2 linked regions of the Mytilus edulis genome follow. The protein of the gene in region 1 interacts with the protein of each later gene in a pairwise test. Links are inferred from orthologs where the notes say so. Each region holds a gene or a part of one and is shown on either strand. Other genes may lie near its edges.

Evidence for each region.
Region 2: the proteins of methylenetetrahydrofolate reductase (NADPH)-like (region 1) and proteasome subunit beta type-1-B-like interact in a two-hybrid assay, tested with the Caenorhabditis elegans proteins (3 studies listed by BioGRID). The link is inferred for Mytilus edulis from reciprocal best matches to the Caenorhabditis elegans genes mthf-1 and pbs-6.

Annotation. Positions count from the first base shown.
Region 1 is NC_092356.1:31,714,930-31,726,823, reverse strand, and holds the start of methylenetetrahydrofolate reductase (NADPH)-like, read left to right. Parts: upstream 1-6,262; 5' UTR 6,263-6,342; intron 6,343-11,894.
Region 2 is NC_092345.1:55,906,341-55,918,145, reverse strand, and holds the start of proteasome subunit beta type-1-B-like, read right to left. Parts: upstream 6,087-11,805; 5' UTR 6,016-6,086; coding exon 5,927-6,015; intron 1,316-5,926; coding exon 1,208-1,315; intron 638-1,207; coding exon 556-637; intron 1-555. Other genes in the region: U6 snRNA-associated Sm-like protein LSm2, read left to right, coding at 6,271-6,273, 7,921-7,988, 8,537-8,627, 9,144-9,272. UniProt on the Caenorhabditis elegans protein: Non-catalytic component of the proteasome, a multicatalytic proteinase complex which is characterized by its ability to cleave peptides with Arg, Phe, Tyr, Leu, and Glu adjacent to the leaving group at neutral or slightly basic pH.

The sequences.
Region 1 (11,894 bases):
AAACGAAATGATGTACAAGTTAGCAACTCAAAAGTTAGCAGCCAGGCCTTCCGGCAACAATGAACAAAACCAATACCGCATAGCAAGCCATATGGTAACTTATAATAACTTTATTAAGTACAAATTACACCAATGAGAGGGTCAATGGCACAACAATTACTTGTATTTACAACAATATTATGATGAGCGACATTTACATTTTCATCTTTGAACCAAAATACTAAATACACATCAACAGATAAACTCAAGTTTATAAATAGTCTCGAATGTGACAAATTTTAATTTTTTCAATCCAGAAAACTATACTGATAAATCTGATAAAAGTGATTTATGTTCAAAACAAAACATGCACTAGAAACAAAACAGATATACAGCAAGTGCAAATAAAAGACAACCACCGTGTCTACATTATATAATCTAACTCCCTAGCTACTGACGAAGGCATATGTTGACTCTTCAGCCATATTTGGTCCCTGACTGACCAATAAACCCCATAACAAAAACAAACTGACAAAAACAAAACCCAAAGAACAAGAACAAAACCAAAATCAAAAGAACAAGATCAAGATCAAAGAACAAAAACAAAACCAAAAAACAAAACCAAAAAACAAATACAACTTAACGAATGTCTTAAAAGCTGTATTTTCTCCATCATTAAAATCAACTTACGCATTTCGTATTTATATATGATAGGTCTATATACATATATAAATATACGAGTCTAAATTGAAAACTACGTCCAAACCTATGATTGCGTTGAATAAAAACCGCAATTATTATACGTGTGCATGTAAAAACAAATTTCGTTGTAGAAGGGTCTAAAAGAACCTCTAAAATACAGCACAAACAACATGTTCCAAAAGACCAAAAAAGTGAAAAAGTATATTTAAACAAAACGCATTTGACTAACAGGTCGAACAACTGATGCTCTTAAACCCTGCTGACTGCCATTAAAATTGATCACGTGATGTAACAAAATGCTATAAATATATAAGTACGTCTGAGCCAGTGACAATATATATGATATCTATACTAAGCATATTAACTTTTTTGATACTATAGCAAACAGTGATAAGATTACGGATCTTTACAGATCTTTATACGTTTGCACTTTAAATACAAAACAGGACAATATCTCTCGATCACATTTCAATTTCATAAACATTATTTGCTCCCTAGATTCCTACCTTTCAGCAAAGTTTAGGATAGTATGGTCGACATATAATACACAAAACAAAGACAACAATGAAAATAGAGTGTACAAGAAGATCCACTTAAATAGCACTGAAAAAATGGAAATGATTTGAGCGCATATTAAACTTCCGCGGTTCATGAAGTTAGATTCATAACAAACCTGACATAGTTTTATAATATAGTTAATTGCTACCTCAGTTTTATATTAATAAGAATTAAAATGTGCTTTGTTATTAAATGCAATATCAGTATTTAGTTCAAATATATAATCTTAAATTAATCCTAATTCTAATGACGTCATTTTTTCGTCATTTTTTCATTTTTTGATGCTCTGTTTTACTAATTCTAATGACGTCATTTTTTCGTCATTTTTTCGTCATTTTTCAGTTTCAAATAGGACGTCACTTGGCGTAGAGGTTTATACGTATTCGGATGTGTCTACTTTTGTGTTTCAAATGTCTGGTTATGTAAATGTATTTCAGTTGTTTCCTGTAATTAGTTAATACTTCAGCTTTATCATGTACATCTTTTGAATATTCATTTTATTAAATTTACTGTTTGCAAAAGTATAAATTACTCTAAATTATAGGGATTTTCTGGTAACTTAACGGAAAACCCTTGCCGTTTTTGGCACAACCTTTTTGATCTTTTGGTCCTCGATGCTGTTCAACTTTGTACTCGTTTCGGCTTTCAAACTTTTGTATCTGTGCGTCACACATAGGTCTTGTGTGGACAAAATACACTTCTGGCGTATTAAAATTTTGAACTTGTTGCCTTTTGTTGGCTGTTGTTCGTGTGGTTCTTTGTCTATTGTGTTCTCCAATTTATTTATATTGTAGTCCTGTGTTGTCATTTTGATGTTATATTTCACATGGCCATAAAAGTGCGAGGTTTGGCATGCCACAAAACCAGGTTCAACCCACCATTTTTTCCTTTAAAAATGCCCTGTACCAAGTCAGGAATATGGTCATTGTTATATTATAGTTCGTTTCTGTGTGTATTACATTATAACGTTGTGTCGTTTGTTTTCTCTTATTTTTGAGTGTAAATTCACATTGCGATAAGACGTGTCACGGTACTTGTCTATCCCAAATTCATGTATTTGGTTTTGATGTTATATATATATGTTATATTTGTTTTTCTCGTGGGATTTTGTCTATATGTGTTACATTTTAGTGTTATGTCGTTGTTCTCCTCTTATATTTAATGCGTTTCCCTCGGTTTTAGTTTGTTATCCCGATTTTGTTTTTTGTCCATGGATTTATGAGTTTTGAACAGCGGTATACTACTGTTGCCTTTATTCATACACAAGTTTCACAAATTAGCCAAGACGTCAGCAACTATTGTACTCATCTATCACCCCTGCTTTCAATTAATAGTCTTAATTCCATTGTCCAAGAGGATCCTTCTTTTGAAGAAATTTATATTCCTCATAGCATTCCACAACCATTTGACACGGTTCGTAGAAATATAATTCATTGTTTAATCTTTTGGTGTATGATATTTTAAAATTTTCCAAATAATTCAGTCATAAAATAAAATTCCCATCACGCGGCGTAAAGCAAATCACTTTTATCCGATATAATTTAATCTATACATGTATATACATTAATGGCCTAGTTATGAGACACCAGGATGCTTCTCATTATAAATTCCCTTTTATTTGCACATGATTCTGTTTACTATATAGAAAGGGAACAGGAGCGAAACTTCTTTTGGTCCGCTCCCCCCACCCCCACCCCCTTTCCCCGCTTTTTTCGTATTTTATTTTTATTATATTATATAAAAAAATGTAAAATGGTTTAGTTAAACTCAAAAACTACAATAGTATTGGACTAAAGTAGATGTGTTTGTTGCTTATCAGATTCGGACGGTAACCCCCCCCCCCCCCTTTTTCGGTTCACTGACTTCTATGCTGAGCTCCTATACCTCTGTTCTTCTTTTAACAAACTCACTCTACAGAAGGTAAAACATGGTTAAGGTGATGTTTGTCAGTTCCACTTGGAAACTAAAAGTAAAATTCAACTTATAGGCAAATGGTAAAACTACTGATATAATTGTTTCAAATGTAATGATACGAATTTAAATTTTATTGAACAATCACTACGTTTGAGCGGACCCCCATCCCGTGGTAAAGTGCACTGCCGAACCAAGAGAACACAACACAGTAATATGTATGACAAAAAATGACACATAAAAGTGGCACTGCACGCGTTTGTGTTACTGTTTATAACTTTTTTATGCCCCATTTATGGGCATTATGTTTTCTGGTCTGTGCATTCGTTCGTCCGTCTGTCTGTCTGTCCCGCTTCAGGTTAAAGTTTTTGGTCGAGGTAGTTTTTGATGAAGTTGAACTTGAAACTTAGTGCACATGTTACCTATGATATGATCTTTCTAATGTTAATGCCAAAGTTCCAATGACAACTAGAGGCTCAGGCTAGAGGGTTCACGAAGATTAACACATGAGCAGAGACATGTACATATGTCGTGTACAATTTGTGATTTTGTACAGGTTATGAAATGTACAAAAATGTTGTACATGTTATAATTTGTACAATGCAAAAATACAAGTTATAACATGTACAAAAGTACCTCATACATGTTATACATGTACAAAATATTGCTTTAAAATGGTTTTAACTTGTACAAAATTTGAAAATAAAGATATGTTTCTATTATAACAACACATGCCACTAACCTCAATGATATTTTAATTATTTTTTGTTATTGTTCATTCATGTTAGTATGATACCTTTTTGATACAGATAGTTATTGACCAGATAAATAGTTTTTATGATGACATAATACCTTAAAGACTTTTTAAATTCACATGATGTAAATAATTAAGATTATTCGGTATTGTTACCTGGTATAAAACAGAAGAAGACTTAGAAGCAATATTTGAAGCAAGTTCTGTATCTAATAACACTGACATTGACCCTTTTTACCGAGACAGAACATAATACAGACACTTAAATAGAAACTGAAAACAATTTCAGAGACGGATATTATTACTGACACAAACATTGAAACTGATGATTAATTGAATGGTCATGATTCAGCAGACACCAATGAACGAACAAATGAGTTAGAAACAGAAACAATGGTAATGAAGTGATGCGAACATGGTTATTGAGGAAGTATCAGCATGCCATCTACTGGTATACTTCCTCGAAAGAGGGTGCTTTCTAGTGGTGATATTCCTGCTGTCAATACCAGTGAGGGTTTATCTGAAATTTCAAATACTGACATCAAGCGTGCACGAAAGGTGACCCTCACTGGCCAGCAGGTACAAGCCCAAGCCTTGACAAAAAACTCAAAAACTAGATAAACTGTTCTCTCCTTAGGCGATAATGTTATCATTCACATTCAGTCCATTGATATGGGCCCTGCATATATGCGAAAACATAACAGGCTTGGTGATGAATGTGAATGGACATATCATAGTGGCGGCTACAAAATTGGAACTGAAGACTTAGTTGGACAAATAAAGGGATACTTGAGTATAGACCCGGTTCAATTTCTTGCAAATGCAACTTCAAATGTGTCTGAAGTCCCAATAAGTGATATGAGTGTTAGAGAGATGGTCCGTAAGATATCCTAATTAAGTGTGTGGGGGCAAAGATTTGTGCATTGTTAGTGTAAAAAAACAGTTGTAGGTCTGGCAGGTGTAAATGTATAAGAGTGAAAGTTTTATGCAACTCAAACGTGTCACATATCTCTGTCTTGTAGCAAAAAGTAATAAGAAACTTGTTTCTAAAATGTATGAAAATGAAGTATTTTATGCATGCTGTAAATAATGAACCTTATTTTGCATTTGATTATTGTTCTTTATTATTTGAAAAAAATTCAATCGTGTAAATATATTCTGTTTTATCATTTTTAAATTTTGTACAGGTTGAAACCGTTTTTAAGCAATATTTTGTACATGTTATAACATGTACGAGCCGGAGGTACTTTTGTACATGTTATAACTTGTATTTTGGCATTGTACAAATTATAGCATGTACAATTTTTTGGATATGTTATAACCTGTACAAAATTGCAACTTGTACACGACATATACATATCTATCTCTGATATGAGACAGCTTTGTAAATTAAAAGGGTTTGACGTGAATGAGAACAGTGGTACAGCACACACTCCTTGGGGAAATCAAGGACGTATGTTAGTTATACGTCCTTGGGGAAATGGACCCATGAGACATATACTTCCATAGGCACTCGTCTCAGATCCCCCCCCCCCCTATATACCTTTATGTAAAGGTATATACAGATTTATTATTTTTCTGAGACGAGTGCCTGTATAGAACCTATATGATATTCTACACATAATCACGTTGTCTCAGCCGGAATGATTATTATCATGTTTGATTTATATGATCTTAATGATAGACTCATAATACCCATGCAATTCTGTTAAGAGCATTTATGAACGCATACAATTAGTTGAAATGTTGAGAAAGATTTACAAGAATAAATATGACACAAAGAAAAATACTTATATATATTGAAAAAAAAGGATAATCATGATGTATTATATATATGTTACTGTATTAAATATGCTGCTATTGAAAAAAATCGCATGAGTAAAACCATAGATGTCTACATCTATGGTAAAACCAAATTAAATTAGGAAAAATAAGTTTTAACATTTAAAAGAACTATCGACCCCTATTTCTATTTCTCTTGCAAATTTTATAACCCCATTTATGAAATGTTTGGACATCTATTTTGAAAATTTCCCGCTTAAAAGTTTGTATGTTCGGGTGTTCTCTAGATGATGTAAAATCTACTTGCAAAGAAGCGTGTTTGCGCATTAGTTTCATGTTTATTTAAATAAATTATGCATTTATAAGAAAAGTTTTCAAAGTTAAAGCATTTTCGAAATTGAAATCAGATTTAAATGTCAATAAACACTGTTAAAATCCAAGCCGATAAAATCCGAAAAGTCCGAAGCCATTTAAAAATGGAGACGATTGTAAAACATAACATTGTCATGCATGATCGCACATTAATTCTGATTGGTTGACAATTTGTATAAATACCTAATTCAACAAATTTGCATTCTCTTCTAGTCTAAACGTTCGTGGTGTTTGCATGAAGGAATAAATCGGGAAATTTGATGACAGAAAGGTTTATTGTTGAGGTAATTTTATGAATTGAATAAAAGAAACACTTGTAACAGTATCCTAAATTAACTTCAGCTTTAATTAAACAATAGCATCAGTATAATATTATTTTATTATTGTTTTTTCCTTCAGCCACAGCATCCGTTTTGGTTTGTTTACAAACGGAAAATTGCAATTATGCAATAAGATTCGATGTATATAATTAGTCACCTTGTAACTAATAACGGTAACGGATCAGCAGTAAAATGCATGCTATATATTTTCTAAACTATAAAAAATTAATGTTAAAAAGAAATTTATGTTGCCTTTGTTGGATTCAAGTCGCCGGTATCAAATCAATACAAGCGGAACTCGAGAGAATCAGGATGTTATTAAAATAGATTATGTAATAGAAAACAAATGTCATTTTTATGCTTTTTTTGAAGAAAATATTTTGTAATGGGTATTTTTATAAATTTCCAAGGTAAGGAAATTGTTTGTCAAAATTAATTAAACATGTTTAGCACAATACAATTTAATTAAGGAGTTTTTTTATACCTTGTTATATTATTTAATCTGACCAGTGCAGGAAATCGGACGTTCAAACTTGTCAGTTTTCAACCTTTGTAGCCTTTTAGCAACAGTTGTCAGTTTGCCCCCCCCCCCCCCCCCCCCAAAAAAAAGATGATTTATAATTAGATCCATTGATTGTGTGTGTTAAAATTGTGTTAATCACTATTTTTTGTCAAAAAGGTATTTTAGTTATAGCTGAAATTGAGAAAGGATTGATTTATTAGATTTCAATTAAAATCTTAATCAATATATATATACACACATGTTTAAATTCCATTCAAAATTGATTCCCTGTTAGTTCAATCTTGTTTTTGTTTTTTTTAATTTCAACAAAAATGACTTTTTTTTTTTATTAAAATGTAATTTGTTATGTTGAATCTAGTGGTATTTAGATTTCTGATTTTAGGCAGAGTTGTCATTTTGGTCCATATTAAGGGGGTCTCATTGGGGGGTTCAGATCCCGGATCCCGCTTACTGTTTTGTCAGATTCCCGTATCCCGCTTACACTATGTACGTAAGCAATTCACATTTTTTTGTCATTTCCTGGGTCCCGCTAGACCTCATTTCCTGTTTTCCCGACACAATAATTTGACTTTCACGTGTCACGCTTACAAAAAATTGGCAATCCCGCGTCACGCTTAGACCCCAATGAAACCCACTATTAAGGTCCAAAGTGTCCAATAGTAACTTAACATAATTTTGATTTTGATAAAAAATGAATTCTTGTAATTCTTCAATATGTTGAATTTTAACATGAATTTAGATTTTTAAACGTCCATCTACAGAACATATTATGTTATACCATTTGTCTGCCATCAATATATTGGAAATATCAGTGGCGGATCCAGAACATTTCCTAAGGGGGGGCCCACTGACGGACCTAAGGGGGGGGGGGCCACTCCAGTCATGCTTCAATGATTCCCTATATAATCAACCAAATTTTTCCCACAAAAGGGGGGGCCATACCCCCCCCCCCCCCCCCTGGATCCGCCTATGCATATTTAACTCTAAAACAATTACCCATTTTGCATAAAACTTTGGTGAATTGTATATATCTATTGATCAATTGACATGAGCACACTTTCGTTTTTCCTAAATTTTAGATTTTCCGTTTCAGAGAAATGTTTTTTTTCCAGTTTTCCGACCATAACTCAAAAGTGTTTTTTAATTTGCAAGAAACTTTGGTCAATTGTTCTTATCGGACAGCACAAATATTTTGGGGTTCGTATAATGCTATGATTTCGTTCTCGGTCTGCATCGTAGCCCGATGACACATTTGGTTTCTGGACAATAACCTTAGTTTAAGGGCAAATGATACAGTTACAGGAGAGGTAATGACATTGCTAACGTAAATTGTTATTTTCGCGACGTCAAACTATGACTTATCGGGAAAAGATTCAGTTTTCAACTGATTTTTATCATTCAAACTTATTACACTTGAAAACGAGTTCATGGACCCCTCTTTTTAGCTCACCTGGCCCGAAGGGCCAAGTGAGCTTTTCTCATCACTTGGCGTCCGTCGTCCGTCGTCCGTCGTCCGTCGTCCGTCGTCCGTCGTCGTCGTCGTCGTTAACTTTTACAAAAATCTTCTCCTCTGAAACTACTGGGCCAAATCAAACCAAACTTGGCCACAATCATCATTGGGGTATCTAGTTTAAAAAATGTGTGGCGTGACCCGGTCAACCAACCAAGATGGCCGCCACGGCTAAAAATAGAACATAGGGGTAAAATGCAGTTTTTGGCTTATAACTCAAAAACCAAAGCATTTAGAGCAAATCTGACATGGAGTAAAAATGTTTATCAGGTCAAGATCTATCTGCCCTGAAATTTTCAGATGAATCGGTCAATCGGTTGTTGGGTTGCTGCCCCTGAATTGGTAATTTTGAGGAAATTTTGCTGTTTTTGGTTATTATCTTGAATATTATTATAGATAGAGATAAACTGTAAACAGCAATAATGTTCAGCAAAGTAAGATCTACAAATAAGTCAACATGACCAAAATGGTCAGTTGACCCGTTTAGGAGTTATTGCCCTTTATAGTCAATTTTTAACCATTTTTCGTAAATTAAAGTAATCTTTTACAAAAATCTTCTCCTCTGAAACCACTGGGCCAAATTAATTCAAACTTGGCCACAATCATCTTTGGGGTATCTAGTTTAAAAAATGTGTGGCGTGACCTGGTCAACCAACCAAGATGGCCGCCACCGCTAAAAATAGAACATAGGGGTAAAATGCAGTTTTTGGCTTATAACTCAAAAACCAAAGCATTTTGAGGAAATCTGACATGGGGATATAAATGTTTATCAGGTCAAGATCTATCTGCCCTGAAATTTTCAGATGAATCGGTCAATCGGTTGTTGGGTTGCTGCCCCTGAATTGGTAATTTTGAGGAAATTTTGCTGTTTTTTGTTATTATCTTGAATATTATTATAGATAGAGATAAATTGTAAACAGCTATAATGTTCAGCAAAGTAAGATCTACAAATAAGTCAACATGACCAAAATGGTCAGTTGACCCCTTTAGGAGTTATTGCCCTTTATAGTCAATTTTTAACCATTTTTCATAAATCTAAGTAATCTTTTACAAAATCTCCACTGAAACTACTAGGCCACAATCATCTTTGGGGTATCTAGTTTGAAAAATGTGTCCGATGACCTGGCCATTCAACCAAGATGGCCGCCACGGCTAAAAATAGAACATAGGGGGTAAAATGCAGTTTCTGGCTTATAACTATGAAACCAAAGCATCTAGAGCAAATCTGACAAGAAGTTAAATTGTTAATCAAGTCAATATCTATCTGCCCTGAATTTTTCAGATGAATTGGACAACTGGTTGTTGGGTTGCTGCCCTCCAATTGGTAATTTTTAAAGAAATTTTGCCGTTTTTGGTTATCTTGAATACTATTATAGATAGCGATAAACTGTAAACAGCAATAATGTTCAGCAAAGTAAGATCTACAAATAAGTCAACATGACCTAAATGGTCAATTGACCCCTTAAGGAGTTATTGCCCTTTATAGTCAATTTTTAACAATTTTCATTAATTTGGTAAATTTATGTAAATTTTTACCAAATATAGTTCTCTGTTACTAATGGGCAAAGTTCATTATAGATATAGTTGTAAGAAGCAAAATCATTCAGTAAAGTAAGAACTTCAAACACATCACCATCACCAAAATACAATTTTGTCATGAATCCATTTGTGTCCTTTGTTTAATATGCACATAGACCAAGGTGAGCGACACAGGCTCTTTAGAGCCTCTAGTTTAAAATGCCATTTGATTTGATTACGCGAGAAGATTATGTGTGCCAATTTTCATGAAAACGTAAATAGTGCAATTTTTATACGACCGCAAAATTTGAAAAATTTTTCGTCGTATATTGCTATCACGTTGGCGTCGGCGTCGGCGTCGTCGTCGTCGTCGTCGTCTGGCGTCCGAATACTTTTAGTTTTCGCACTCTAACTTTAGTAAAAGTGAATGGAAATCTATGAAATTTTAACACAAGGTTTATGACCACAAAAGGAAGGTTGGTATTGATTTTGGGAGTTTTGGTCCCAACATTTTAGGAATTAGGGGCCAAAAAGGGCCCAAATAAGCATTTTCTTGGTTTTCGCACAATAACTTTAGTATAAGTAAATAGAAATCAATGAAATTTTAGCACAAGGTTTATGACCACAAAAGGAAGGTTGGTATTGATTTTGGGAGATGAGGTCCCAACAGTTTAGGAATTGGGGGCCAAAAAGGGACCCAAATAAGCATTTTTCTTGGTTTTCGCACCATAACGTTAGTATAAGTAAATAGAAATCTATGAAATTTAAACACGAGGTTTATGACCATAAAAGGAAGGTTGGGTTTGATTTTGGGAGTTTTGGTCCTAACAGTTTAGGAATAAGGGGCCCAAAGGGTCCAAAATTGAAATTTGTGTGATTTCATCAAAAATTGAATAATTGGGGTTCTTTGATATGCCGAATCTAACTATGTATGTAGATTCTTAATTTTTGGTCCCGTTTTCAAATTGGTCTACATTAAGGTCCAAAGGGTCCAAAATTAAACTTAGTTTGATTTTAACAAAAATTGAATCCTTGGGGTTCTTTGATATGCTGAATTTAAAAATGTACTTAGATTTTTAATTATTGGCCTAGTTTTCAAGTTGGTCCAAATGGGGGTCCAAAATTAAACTTTGTTTGATTTCTTCAAAAATTGAATAAATGGGTTCTTTGATATGCCAAATCTAACTGTGTATGTAGATTCTTAATTTTTGGTCCAGTTTTCAAATTGGTCTACATTAAGGTCCAAAGGGTCCAAATTAAACTAAGTTTGATTTTAACAAAAATTAAATTCTTGGGCTTATTTGATATGCTTTATCTAAATATGTACTTTGATTTTTGATTATGGGCCCAGTTTTCAAGTTGGTCCAAATCAGGATTCCATATCAAGTATTGTGCAATAGCAAGAAATTTTCAATTGCACAGTATTGCACAATAGCAAGAAATATCTAATTGCACAATATTGTGCAATAGCAATTAATTTTCAATTGGAGTTATCTTTCTTTGTATAGAATAGTAGTTGATAATATATGTTGGAAATTTGCCAGACATGACTATGATGTCATTTTCTATTTTTATTTGCCAATAACTTTATGTAAATAACTTCATTGGAAATTTGCCAATATAAAATGTTGCTGATGAAGCTTTTTTTCCTTATCTTATCTAAAATGTTTTAGATAATGTATGTTGGAAATTTGCCAGACATGACTATGATGTCATTTTCTATTTTTATTTGCCAATAACTTTATGTAAATAACTTCATTGGAAATTTGCCAATATAAAATGTTGCTGATGAAGTTTTTTTTATTGTTTTATACAATAAACAATGTATATTCACTTTTACTACCAACCAATCTTTACCATTCAGTGATAACAAGCACTTTATTTTACATTTTAATATTTTATGATGTATTTAAAAGAGTAGTTATTGTTGCAAACTCCATTAGAAATTTGAATTGATATCAGTTT
Region 2 (11,805 bases), on another chromosome or scaffold:
TGACATGTACATCTGTTAACCTATTTTGGTTGGAAAAAATCTACGGAATGTTTGTAACTGTTTGTTTAATTAAATTGTTATAAGTACCCTACAAAACAGAGTTACATTCATATTTTGTTTCCTATTTGAATGTTCAGAAATCAATTAAGGCCAAATAAAAAAGTTTGTGTGGTTCCAGTTACATCTGAAAAAAAGTTAGGGTAGGTAGGTAGGGATTTTTTTTTTATTTTATGGGGTTTTTTTACATTGAGTATATGGGAGCAACATTCTGACTTTAACAGTGCTTAATGAAAAATGACAATAAAATCTTTAGAGTAAGCTATTTCTAAGCCGAAAAAGTAGGGTCGGTAGGGTTACTGGAACCACACATATATTTTTATTTGGCCTAAGTCTTATAAATGTATATGTATATGTGAATTTGCATAAGGTTGATTTCTACCCAAAACAGCCTATATCATAAGCTATTTTTAAACCAAATGATTAGAATTATATTAATAATAATATGTAAGTTTAAGGTACTTCCATCTATACAATAAAACAAAAGTTGTAGCGTACTTTAAGTCTTGCTTGTAAAATCTTAGTAAGTGTCAGTGTATCTCCATGGAAACCACATGCTCCAAGAACTGTTGAAGATGTCCTACAAAAGAAAAGAAAATTAACTTTCAACTATGCTTCTTGTCAAAACTGTCATTAAATCCTCCATCTCTGTTATTGTCCAACATCATGAACATATTCAACAATAATTACTAACTGTTGTTTCAATAAATTATTGAGAAAATAAACACCACATGCATGGTCAATAAAGAACTACAGAAATATCTTAAAATTAACATTTATTACATGTATATATAAATATAGTTTCTGAGTGCAAGAGGCACAAGAAATATATGTATAATAGGAAACTTGAACAACTTAAAAAAAACACCAACTGTATTATCATGATTATATTGGTGCCAGAAGCTGGTGCCTGAGGAAAGAACTACAGACTTTAGCATGAAAACTGACAACACTGGCCAATATTAAAGTCTAATGCACTTGCCATATTGATAGGCTGGTAATACCGTCTATGAATTACATGTACTGAGACCATTTGCCACCAAGGCCCTGTAAGAAAAATTATCAACCAAACAAATAATACAACTACCCGGTAATCTTTTAGCTTCTGATAACATGACTTAAAGATTCCATGTTTAGTCATTTAACTTACAGTTTATAGGTCTTTGGTAGATCCCTTGTGTGTATAGAAAATCCTTGACTCAACCTTGTATCTGATGCTATTATGGAAAAATCTTCACCAGCAACTGCTAACACTGTCCTGAAAAAAGTGATTTCATCATCAATGGCAGTTTTCTTATATTTTTAATGATTGGATTATTCCCCTTTGTTTTTTATTGAAAAAAATGGTGGAACAGTGTTTTTTAATCAAACAAAGTCATTTGGTGAATTTCATTAAACAGCTGTCATATTCAGGTTTGTGAACATAAGGACTTATCAGACAATTAATTTCTTTTATACGCAACTCTTAACTTCTATCTTAAGCTATCTGTAACCGAAAATAACCGTTTGAAGCCTGACTGTAAAGAACATTCATACCCTCATTAAATAATTTATGGTCAGTGCTCAAACTAATTTCTTTTCAAAAGTACTCTTAACTTCACTATAACACAGGTTCAGGTAATGTTTCATTTAAGATGGGTACGTTACAGACTGTTGTATTCATTGGGGGTACTTTTATCCTGTTCATGAAAAATAACAGTAAAAATTCTTGGCAAATGACTTGAACGTTAATTTTTGGTGCATTTCAGTCAATTAAATAAATAATTTCTTTAGACAATAAAAGTGAACTGATTTTGACAAATCACATTATTCTTTTTTCCGAAAAATAACGAGAATTATTTGAGAGTTCTGACAAATCAGGATCAGGTTATTTGACAAATCATAGTTAAACTTTAACCAATTTGACACTAACTGTATAACGTAGCAGAAAATAGTAGTTTAAAGTAAGGATCTGGAAATTTTTCCATACAATTTTGGTCATTTTGAGATGATTGAAAAGACTTCAGCTGGTGCCCCTTTTCAACTTGACTAGATTCATAGAATTGACAAACTTGTATTGCTGTTTCATTGCATTTACAAAGTAAATGTCTTACCATTTCCTTCGAGAACAGTATAGGGAAGGCAACAGTTTAAAATTGAAATGGTTTTAATGACTAAAACTGGTTAATTTCCAGACACTGCTTACGTTTGTTTCGGTTTGACTAAATTAAAACCGGACGTTTTGCGATCAAATTAAAGTACATGTACAATAGTTCTGGATTCATTTCTGGATTAGTTTTGTTTATCAAATTGACAGGAAATCACCGACTTTTTATTGTTATTTAACTCAGGCCTCTACAATAACTTTTTTTTCAACTTGTCCAATAGGACAAGTACATACCAAAACTTACTTGTCCGAATGAAATTGAAACTTGTCCCAAAAAATATTAAGAATAACCTTTTTTGCATAATAAGTAGATTCAAGGAACAAAATAACTAAAACAATAGAACAGAAGTTGATTCCACAGTGTTTGATTCATACATATTATGTATCTTTTGAAATACTTTTAAAAAATATGAGTCGGAACAACTGAATCTAGTTTTGTCACAGGTTCTAGTTTTCATAAATGCCAAAGTCTTATAAGACTAGGCAGATGATCAGGAACCGTCTGATAGGCCTGTCAATGTTTTTTTTAACTTGAAAAGTGTATTTAAATGCAATCAATAAACAAGAATGTGTCCATAGTACACGGATGCCCCACTCGCACTTTCATTTTCTATGTTCAGTGGACCGTGAAATTAGGATAAAAACTCTTATTTGGCATTAAAATTGAAAGATCATATCATAGGGAACATCTTTACTAAGTTTCAAGTTGATTGGACTTCAACTTCATCAAAAACTACCTTGACCAAAAACTTTAACCTGAAGTGAGACGAACGGACGCACAGATGAACGGACGAACAGACAGACGGACGAACAAAAGTACATCATGTACATACCAGAAAACATAATGGCCCTCTACTATCGTAGGTGGGGCATACAAAAATGAAGATGACTTATGATTGAGGGTTTGGATGGGGTTAAATGATTAAAGAATAATGCCCTTAAAAAATGAAGATTAGAGAAAAAAGGGGTACATTTTTTGAAGATTAGAGAAAAAAGGGGTTAATTTTTTAAAGATTATAAAAAAAAAGGGTCGAAATTAAATGTTTACAGAATAACAGACCCCCCCCCCCCCCCCATCCAGACCCTCATGATTGCCAATGAGACAACTCTCTGCAAGAAATTAACAACTATAGGTCACCGTATTGCAAGTATTGTTTTTTACTACATAGGATCAAATATGATTTAGTGAATTTTGTGGTACACAATTTCTTCATTCATATATATGTAAAAAAGTATTTTTGTTGAAAAAAATACCGGTATAATTTATTTTAAAGCAACAGAATAAGGTAGAAAAATGATGTTCATATTTGTCTTGGTCCGGGTATGTTACCAAACTGTCTATTAATCACGACTATTAAATATGTCTTGTACGGTGCCAAATTGTCTATTAAAGTTGGAGCCGAACCGTTTCAGCTAGTGATGAACTGTCTTGTAAAGTTACCTCATCTGCAAAGCGCCGCTGATTCGAATCAGTAAGACTGGTTTACGAGAATAGTATGTCTTTTACCTGTTAAAAAGTACCTGACAAAGAACCAGTTTTAAATATTCGATTGCAAGTAAACATGTAAAATTAAAACTTTATTTTTCTCTTCTCTTCTTGTTTTATTGATTATAATTACTACATGTACGTTCATCAAATTTATTGTCTGCAGAATAATTTTACTTGTCCCATCGGACAAGCTTGATATAGCTTTTACTTGTCCGACCTTTTTTTGCTCTGGTACCGGACAATCGGACAAGCGTTATTGTCGAGGCCTGTAACTTAATTACCTTTAAAAGTGTTTGAATACAACATGTACAACAGATAATAGTTGCACTCATTAAATTTAACGTGAATTCAATAGACCACTTTCGAGTTCATCCGTCACCGGAAAAAACTCGTCAATTATACCCGCCTTTATGACGTCATTTATCAGATAGAGGGGGTCGCCTGTATCCCTGCACTATTTACGTTCATCAAGCGTCTTAGTGATAGTCATTGTGCAGGATAAACAAGAAAAAATGGTTGTTCTGTAGGTACTTAATGACAATTCCCTAATGACAGCAATGCTGATTGTCAATTTTGAGAATTCAATTTGCCGAATAATTCGTACAATAAGGAATTATAGTTTTCCAACCAATCGCTCAACATTGGAACGGAAGTGACGACGCCCCTAAACGCACAAATGACGTTCACTAAAACCAGAGTTTTTGATGGAAATGCATCTAACTCGAAAGTTGTCTATTTGCATTTTAATATTAAATTTGCTGAAATCAATTTCTTGCATGTGATACATACATGTATGAAAAAATCTTTTTTCTATGTAAATTAAAGTATAATTTTAAAATCAGAATTGATAGCCCCACAGGACGCAATTACGACTGGACACAATTACGAACGATTTCCAATGTTTGCCCTCTGAGATCATATTTGTTTATATTTATCAATAAATGTTTCTATAAATAAAAACCCTATTAAAAATCCCTTGTTTTCATGATAATACAATTTATGGGCACTTGGTAAATGTTGATGACGATGACAAAATCATTCTGAAAATATTATAAGAACGGCAATCTGACCTGGAAGTTATGTAAAAAAATACATAAAGGTAAGTGCATATTGCCTTCTTTTGTTAATATATAGAAAGAAAAATATCTCCTGATTCTGTTCATATGCGTGATGCCTTTTATCATGCCCAAATAACCGCACAATTGACGTTTTTTAGACTCTTCAGTCTTGTGAACCTATTTATGGCCAAAAGAAAATATGTTAATTTTATTGAAAAGTCCAGAGAACTCCGAAAGAAATGTTGACCAATATAAAAAAAATCGTAGATGAATGACAAGTACACCACCGAAATGGATAAACTTGAATTTAGTGCTCCTTTAAAGGAGGAACTTACACAAAAAAAAAAAAAATCAGAAATCTTTCCTTTACACATGACCGACATTTCGTCTGCAACCACTGCTGAAGTATATTGAAGTAAAAAACAAACTTGTGCTTTTTATTTTCCTATGAAAATGAGTTTGAGATAAAGATTAATGTATGCTTTATCAATATAGACTGTTGTCATTGATTTCTTCTGCAAGATATATCAATGTAGTGCTGTTCGGAATTGCGTCCATATGTGGCTCTCTTGACCCGTAAAACGAGGTCACGCAAATCTTACTAAAGTAACCCAACGTGCATAAAAATTTATGTGGGATATGATGCAAAATGGAAAGCCTTCATACATCTTAAATTCTATGGTATAAAAAATTCAAGAAAAGTAGTCTACATAAAAACAATATTAATCACAGTTCAAAAATCGTTCGTAATTGTGTCCGGTGAGGCTAATTGTCTTTGACGAAAAATAATTAAATAATGATTTGACTTGTTTACAATCCCTATATCTGGATTCCGGTTGAGGCATGAACAACTGGATGATACCACCAAAATCAGGATACGTAGATTGCAGGTCTGAGTGGTGCTAGTAACATTATGGTGTACTCCCAATGTATAACTTGGTCATGACAACGTTACTCTTATGTTGAAACTTGTAACCATGTAAATAAAATCAGCAAATGGACAGACAAGGGGCTTGCTTACAACAACGCCTTGTTCTCAGGTTGATAGCTGTTTCATTGCTAATAAAATGATTGTTTCAAAGAACATAGTTATGTGAAAATGACTTGAATGTGCATCATTTCAGTGATTTACTTTCTAATATATATGTGAATTTTACATGAGAGAAAATATAATACCCTCCATTCTGTTCATAGGGATTGAAGTATGCTTGTTTAGGAGCATAATGTGACTCCTCCTGATTTATATGACTGAGTACAGATGTCATTTTCAAGTTGTCTGCTGTGTATGACAGTGCTATTTTCACTTTACAAATTATGATCTCGTTGAAGTCACGTGACAACAAAGACCGGCTATGCAAAATCTACTTTTTCTGTTCTTTTAAGAAAATTTTCTGATTGTCATTATAAATTTTGGAAACATCAAATACAAAGAAATATTATGGCTGATATATTTATGAATAAAGATTGTCCTTATTTTTCATTGTAGTGAAATCTCCTTCATGACGAGATAAAAATCCAAAATGGTGGGTAAAAGCATGAATGAAAATTTTACATTTTGATTTTCATTTAATAACGTTCATCTTTCAATTTCTAAGCTGTGCCAGCCCATCAGCTCTATTTGACACTATAAAGTGTATAGGAGGAGTTGTGTTGAAAGTCTATCCATGGCCTCAAGTTGTTTATTTTACTATTTTCTGCTTTATAAAATTCGGGTGTCACTTTGGTGATTAGTCCAAATAATTATGACGTCTTGAAAGGCTATTATAATTTTTTTCTTTGACGCCTTACATCGACGTCGATGTAAGGCGTCAAAGAAAAAAATTATAATAGCCTTTCAAGACGTCATAATTATTTGGACTATATGGTGATGAGCGTCACGCATTCACTAATTAATTCCAACTACCCCACAACTTTTAGTTCGACACTGCAATAGCCCGACGACCTATAAGTCTGACACAGGTCGTGTAAGAACATCTTCTTCATGGAAGCAGGACAAATCGCGCCACTTTTTCACCAACTCGCCCCATTTAAAAAAAATTCTCGCCTCAAACTAGTTTACCAACTCGCCCCACTTGTGAAAACAGTTAAATCCCGTTATTTTTTTTCAGGGAAACTCGCCCCACTTATTAATGAAAAAGGTAAAATCTAGATGAATATATAATTTTCTGGTCTACCACCTCGCCCCACTTAAAAACGACTAGTATGAGGGGGCATGACTCGATTCACTAGGGCTTTTCTATTTTACACAAGTGGGGCTAGTTGGCATTCACGTCTCGGAAATACTGATACTCATTTATTTCTTCTTTATTTCAACAAAAAGAAAAGAACTACAAAATAGATATATAATTAGATGGGTATGAGTGCCTATGAGACAGCACTTCATTCAAGTCACAATTAAAGGCCCCAAAACGACAAGTGTAAAACCATTCAAATGAGAAAAGCATGTTTATCTAAGGTTTGCATAGGTATTGATTTTAATTATGAGTGCGTTAGGAACATAGATATATACAACGGGATTACATCTTTTGCATCAAGTGGGATGACTTTGCATTATTATATTCATCAGGATTTACCTATTTTTCACAAGTCATTATGAATTTTGGAAACATCAAATACAAAGAAATATTATGGCTGATATATTTATGAATAAAGAGTTGCATTTGGCAGACCTTATTTCAGAGGGAATTTTACCCTTTTCATATAAGGAGCAAAGTTATCCAACATATTTTCAAAGGGAATTGCCCTTTTTCATAAGTAAGGCGAGTTGGTAAACAAAAGAGGGGCGAATTTTTCAGAAAGTGGGACAAGTTAGTTAAAAAGTGGAGCGATTAGGTGTGGGGTGATTTGCCAGTGGGGTGATTAGTCATGGATTCTTATTCATAGATTTCCAATAGACAATCCCCGAGGTATTGACTAAACATCTTATCCCTTTTGTTTCATTACTGGACATCCCTCAGGGTTCCTTTAAAATTTTGACCTCATAATACAAAATATCTGACAGTAATGTGCTATTGCTTACATCCTTCTCATTTGCTGTCAGACTCAGAGCTTATTAAAACTGGAGAAAATTGTCTCATTGGCAAATTCAAATCACATTTCCATAATTTAAATTGAATCAAAATATGAATGAATTTATACATGTTAATCATGTTTATTTTTTCTGATTTCAGTTGTTTTACTCTTTCTTCAAATCTTTAGTTGGTAAAGATGTTGTTGTGGAACTAAAGAATGATTTGAGGTAAGAAGCCAAGAATAATAAAGACAGATACTAAAGTTGCTTACATTCACAAGATTTGGTCTAACAAATCATGTAGGTGGAAACTTGTCTTATTATTTTTATCATGTTAATAAACATCCCAGGCCCTAATTACAAATGTACAAACTGGTTGGTGAACTGCATTCATCTTTTGCTTTGTCCATAGCCTTTGTTTCATATTTCTTTTCAGAATTATTGGAAAATTTGATATTTGGTCTTGATCTTAATAATGAACTTGTAATGATGAGCCTCTTTCTGCATGTTGATGTATTTGACAAAACTTCAAATACTTTGTTGTTCCAGTTAAGCACAGCATTTCTAAGACAGTAGTCTGAAGTACAGGAACAATAATAGAACTAAACATAACTGCATAAAAACACATGAGCATTAGCTTTAATGAAGAACAGGAACTATATTCCAAAATTGAGATTTTATACACCATTTAGTATTAAATTATTTGTCCATACCTATACTATGTTTTGTAATATTTTTCATGTATAGTTTTGCTTTAAATGTTATTTATTTTGTAGCATATGTGGTACATTACATTCAGTAGATCAGTTCCTGAATATTAAATTAACAGACATACAGGTGACAGATCCAGATAAATATCCACATATGGTAGGTCTTTTCTTATCAGTTAGTAAATAATTACACTTTACATCTATATTGCTGATCAAGTGTCTGAATAATACCCAGAAAGTGTTCAATCATGATTGCCTAAATCAGACCAAAAGTTGCACAAAAGAGCTCAAGGCTGGAGATACTGAGGAGACAAAAAGCATAATTCAAAAAATGATACACTTAAGATGATGATTTATAATTATGATACTATTTACTGAGAACATTAGATTATAAGCAGTACATGTATTAAAGTTAATTTACACATCCAAATCAAAACAAGAAAAAAACGTTTGATATATAAATAGACATATGTACTTTTGGGGAAAAGTGTCTGATTTGTTAGTTTTAATTGAAGGGTACTTTTTGAGTGAATCTTGAAATTCATAGAAAACTGTAACTTGTTTACTTTGATATCTTTAATAATTATATATACAATAAGTAAGATATAAGTAATGTAACAGAAAATTGTCAGTATAAAATGAATTGTTAATAGTAACATGCTCTGTTTTTCAGTTATCAGTGAAGAATTGTTTTATTAGAGGTTCAGTAGTTAGATATGTACAGTTACCTGCAGATGAATGTGATACACAATTGTTACAAGATGCAGCAAGAAAAGAGGCAGCTCAGAATAGACAGAGATGAATAAGCAGTTGTATTTATTGGTGCAATAACTATGTAACATTGTTTTTATGAGATGGAATTCACAGGAACAATTCTATCAGAAGTCCTGACTCAGAGTTCTGAAACCTCAGGAACTATTTGTGAATAATATTTTATACCGACTTGTATTAACGACTGTGTTGATGGAAAAGATCTATTTTGTAGTGATGTAGGTCAACACGTCTGGTTTTGAAACCAGATATACTTTGTATCTTGAAAATAATTATTGACAAGTATGAAAGTTCAAAATAAAATGCTGTTTTATAAATCAATATTGGTTTTTTTAATACAGAGAATGAATCTCATATTTCAACATTGATCAAGATACTTTTCATTTTTCTTTTGTAATTTGTAAGTAATAAGAAATCATTCAACATATACCAACGTGATAAATTTGAGGATTGCATTCTGCACTAACATCCTATTTTTTTTTTTTTTTTTTTTTTTTAATGCATTCCATCAACTTATAGCCAGTTTAAAAGTCCTTGTAAAAGATATATTTGTGTGTAATTGATAATAGTATTTTATAGTGAGGAAAACATATTGTTGATTTTGTATTAAGCCAAATTTCTCTATCAAAACTTCACAATTATGAAAAGAGGGAAGAGAAAGATTTCTTTTGTATCATAAATGTATTTTTAAAGATCAATCATATTCAAAGATGTATCAAATTTCATATCAAACATAAAGTTTAAATTAATTTGGTATTGTTGACTTATGTTTTATATTATATAGGAATAAAAAGATATGAGGTACACATTTCTACAACTGCAAACCAACAGCACAAAATCTATAAAAGATATTTTGATGTCAACATTGGGTCTTCAACAATAGACAAGTGTCTTTACTATTATGTATTTGTTGAACTCTAAAAAAAAAAATCCAACGTATAGACATCACAAAATTTGCATACAGCACCATAGTATGTACTCTTCTCTTTTACTCCTCAATCAATTAGTATTTTGGATTGTTCCACAAAACATACAAGTTTGATAGGAAAGATTTCTCATATACAGGTTCATTGTTTCATTTTTATGGTGATGGAGGATTTAAAAAAAAAATTAAAATGCTTACTTCAGCAAATGACCTACTAATGTGTATTTAAGATGCAGTTTAGCCATAGGCAAGGGATGCACTCTCTTCTGTAACCCAGGAATGATTGATCAATGGAATTGTGTTCTACTAATTCATCCTGATGAATCACTAAATTGTAAAATTCAACATTGTAAGAAGCATTTGGGAATTTTTAGTCGATTCTTTCCCTCTGTCTTTGTTTAAATTAGAAAAATGTGATCATTGTAAATGAATTATCACTAGCTAAATGGTTCTATCTTAGTTAATTAAGAAACTTGTGTTGCTTTATGCAAGTAAGTAGAAAATGGCTGGTTTTCAAAAAACTAACCATGGGCAGATCCAGGGGAGGGTTCCATGTTATTTTTGGACAATCAATGCATTTGAATGGGGACATATGGTTGGAACCCCCTTTTTCCTAGGTTGAGGACCCCCTTTTTCAAATGGCTGAATCTTCCCCTGCTAACTATAATTTTAATTTTCCTCTGCAACAAATGCTTCAACGTTTATGGTGACCCCACTAACATTCCAAAGAAGTACATCTATTCACCAGAAATCCTTCGAGGCTTAGAACACTTTAGTCTTTGTGAGAATATTGCATTACTTCCCCTGATTGTGAAAGTTTATTCTCAGCAGTTGAAAAGATCCAGACATATATTATGCCTTCTTTAGAAAAAGTAAATGCATACTTTCTCCTTTCTGTGAAAATCTGCAAGAATAGTTACAACACCTTGTGTTACAGCATTCCACAATTGAGAGAGCAATGCAAACTTGATAAATGTGTTTTATTTGTCAAAATATGGAAAAGGTTTACAGTCAGTCATTCCTATCCAAAAAAAAGATTTTGCTGTGATGCTTTGTACCTTTCTTCTACACAAAAAAAAACAAGATTACAGGAATTGTGCAACAAAACAAATTCATCATAAATTGTAAGAAAAAAATAAGAGATCTGACACTACTGGTACAATCTAGAGGGGAACCATGAAACACGAGAACACTGAAAGTTTTAACCGTTAGAATTGTTGCATAAACACCCCATAGAGATTTTAAAAAGTTGGCAGGTTTTTTTTTTATAAAATATAGAAGAATAATTATCCAGCAAAAATATAAAAATTAAGATCGATTTATTGATTGTCAGTTTTCTAAGGTCCAGTGGCAAAGTTTCATGCATGTTCAGAAAGACAAGAATTGGAAGCTAAAGAGAACTAACAAAGAGACCAAAGGACAAGGATATATATCAACTATAGGACAATATATGGTCTTCAATAATGAGAAAAAGCCATACCATATAGTAGCCTATAAAAGGCACCAGTATGACAAAATGGGAAACGAATAAACAAGAGAAAACCAATTACCTAATAAAACTATAGAAAGGAAAAATAAGAGAGACATCAACCACTGTGTTAAAGGCTGCTAACTTGAGACAGGCACATAAAAAATGTGT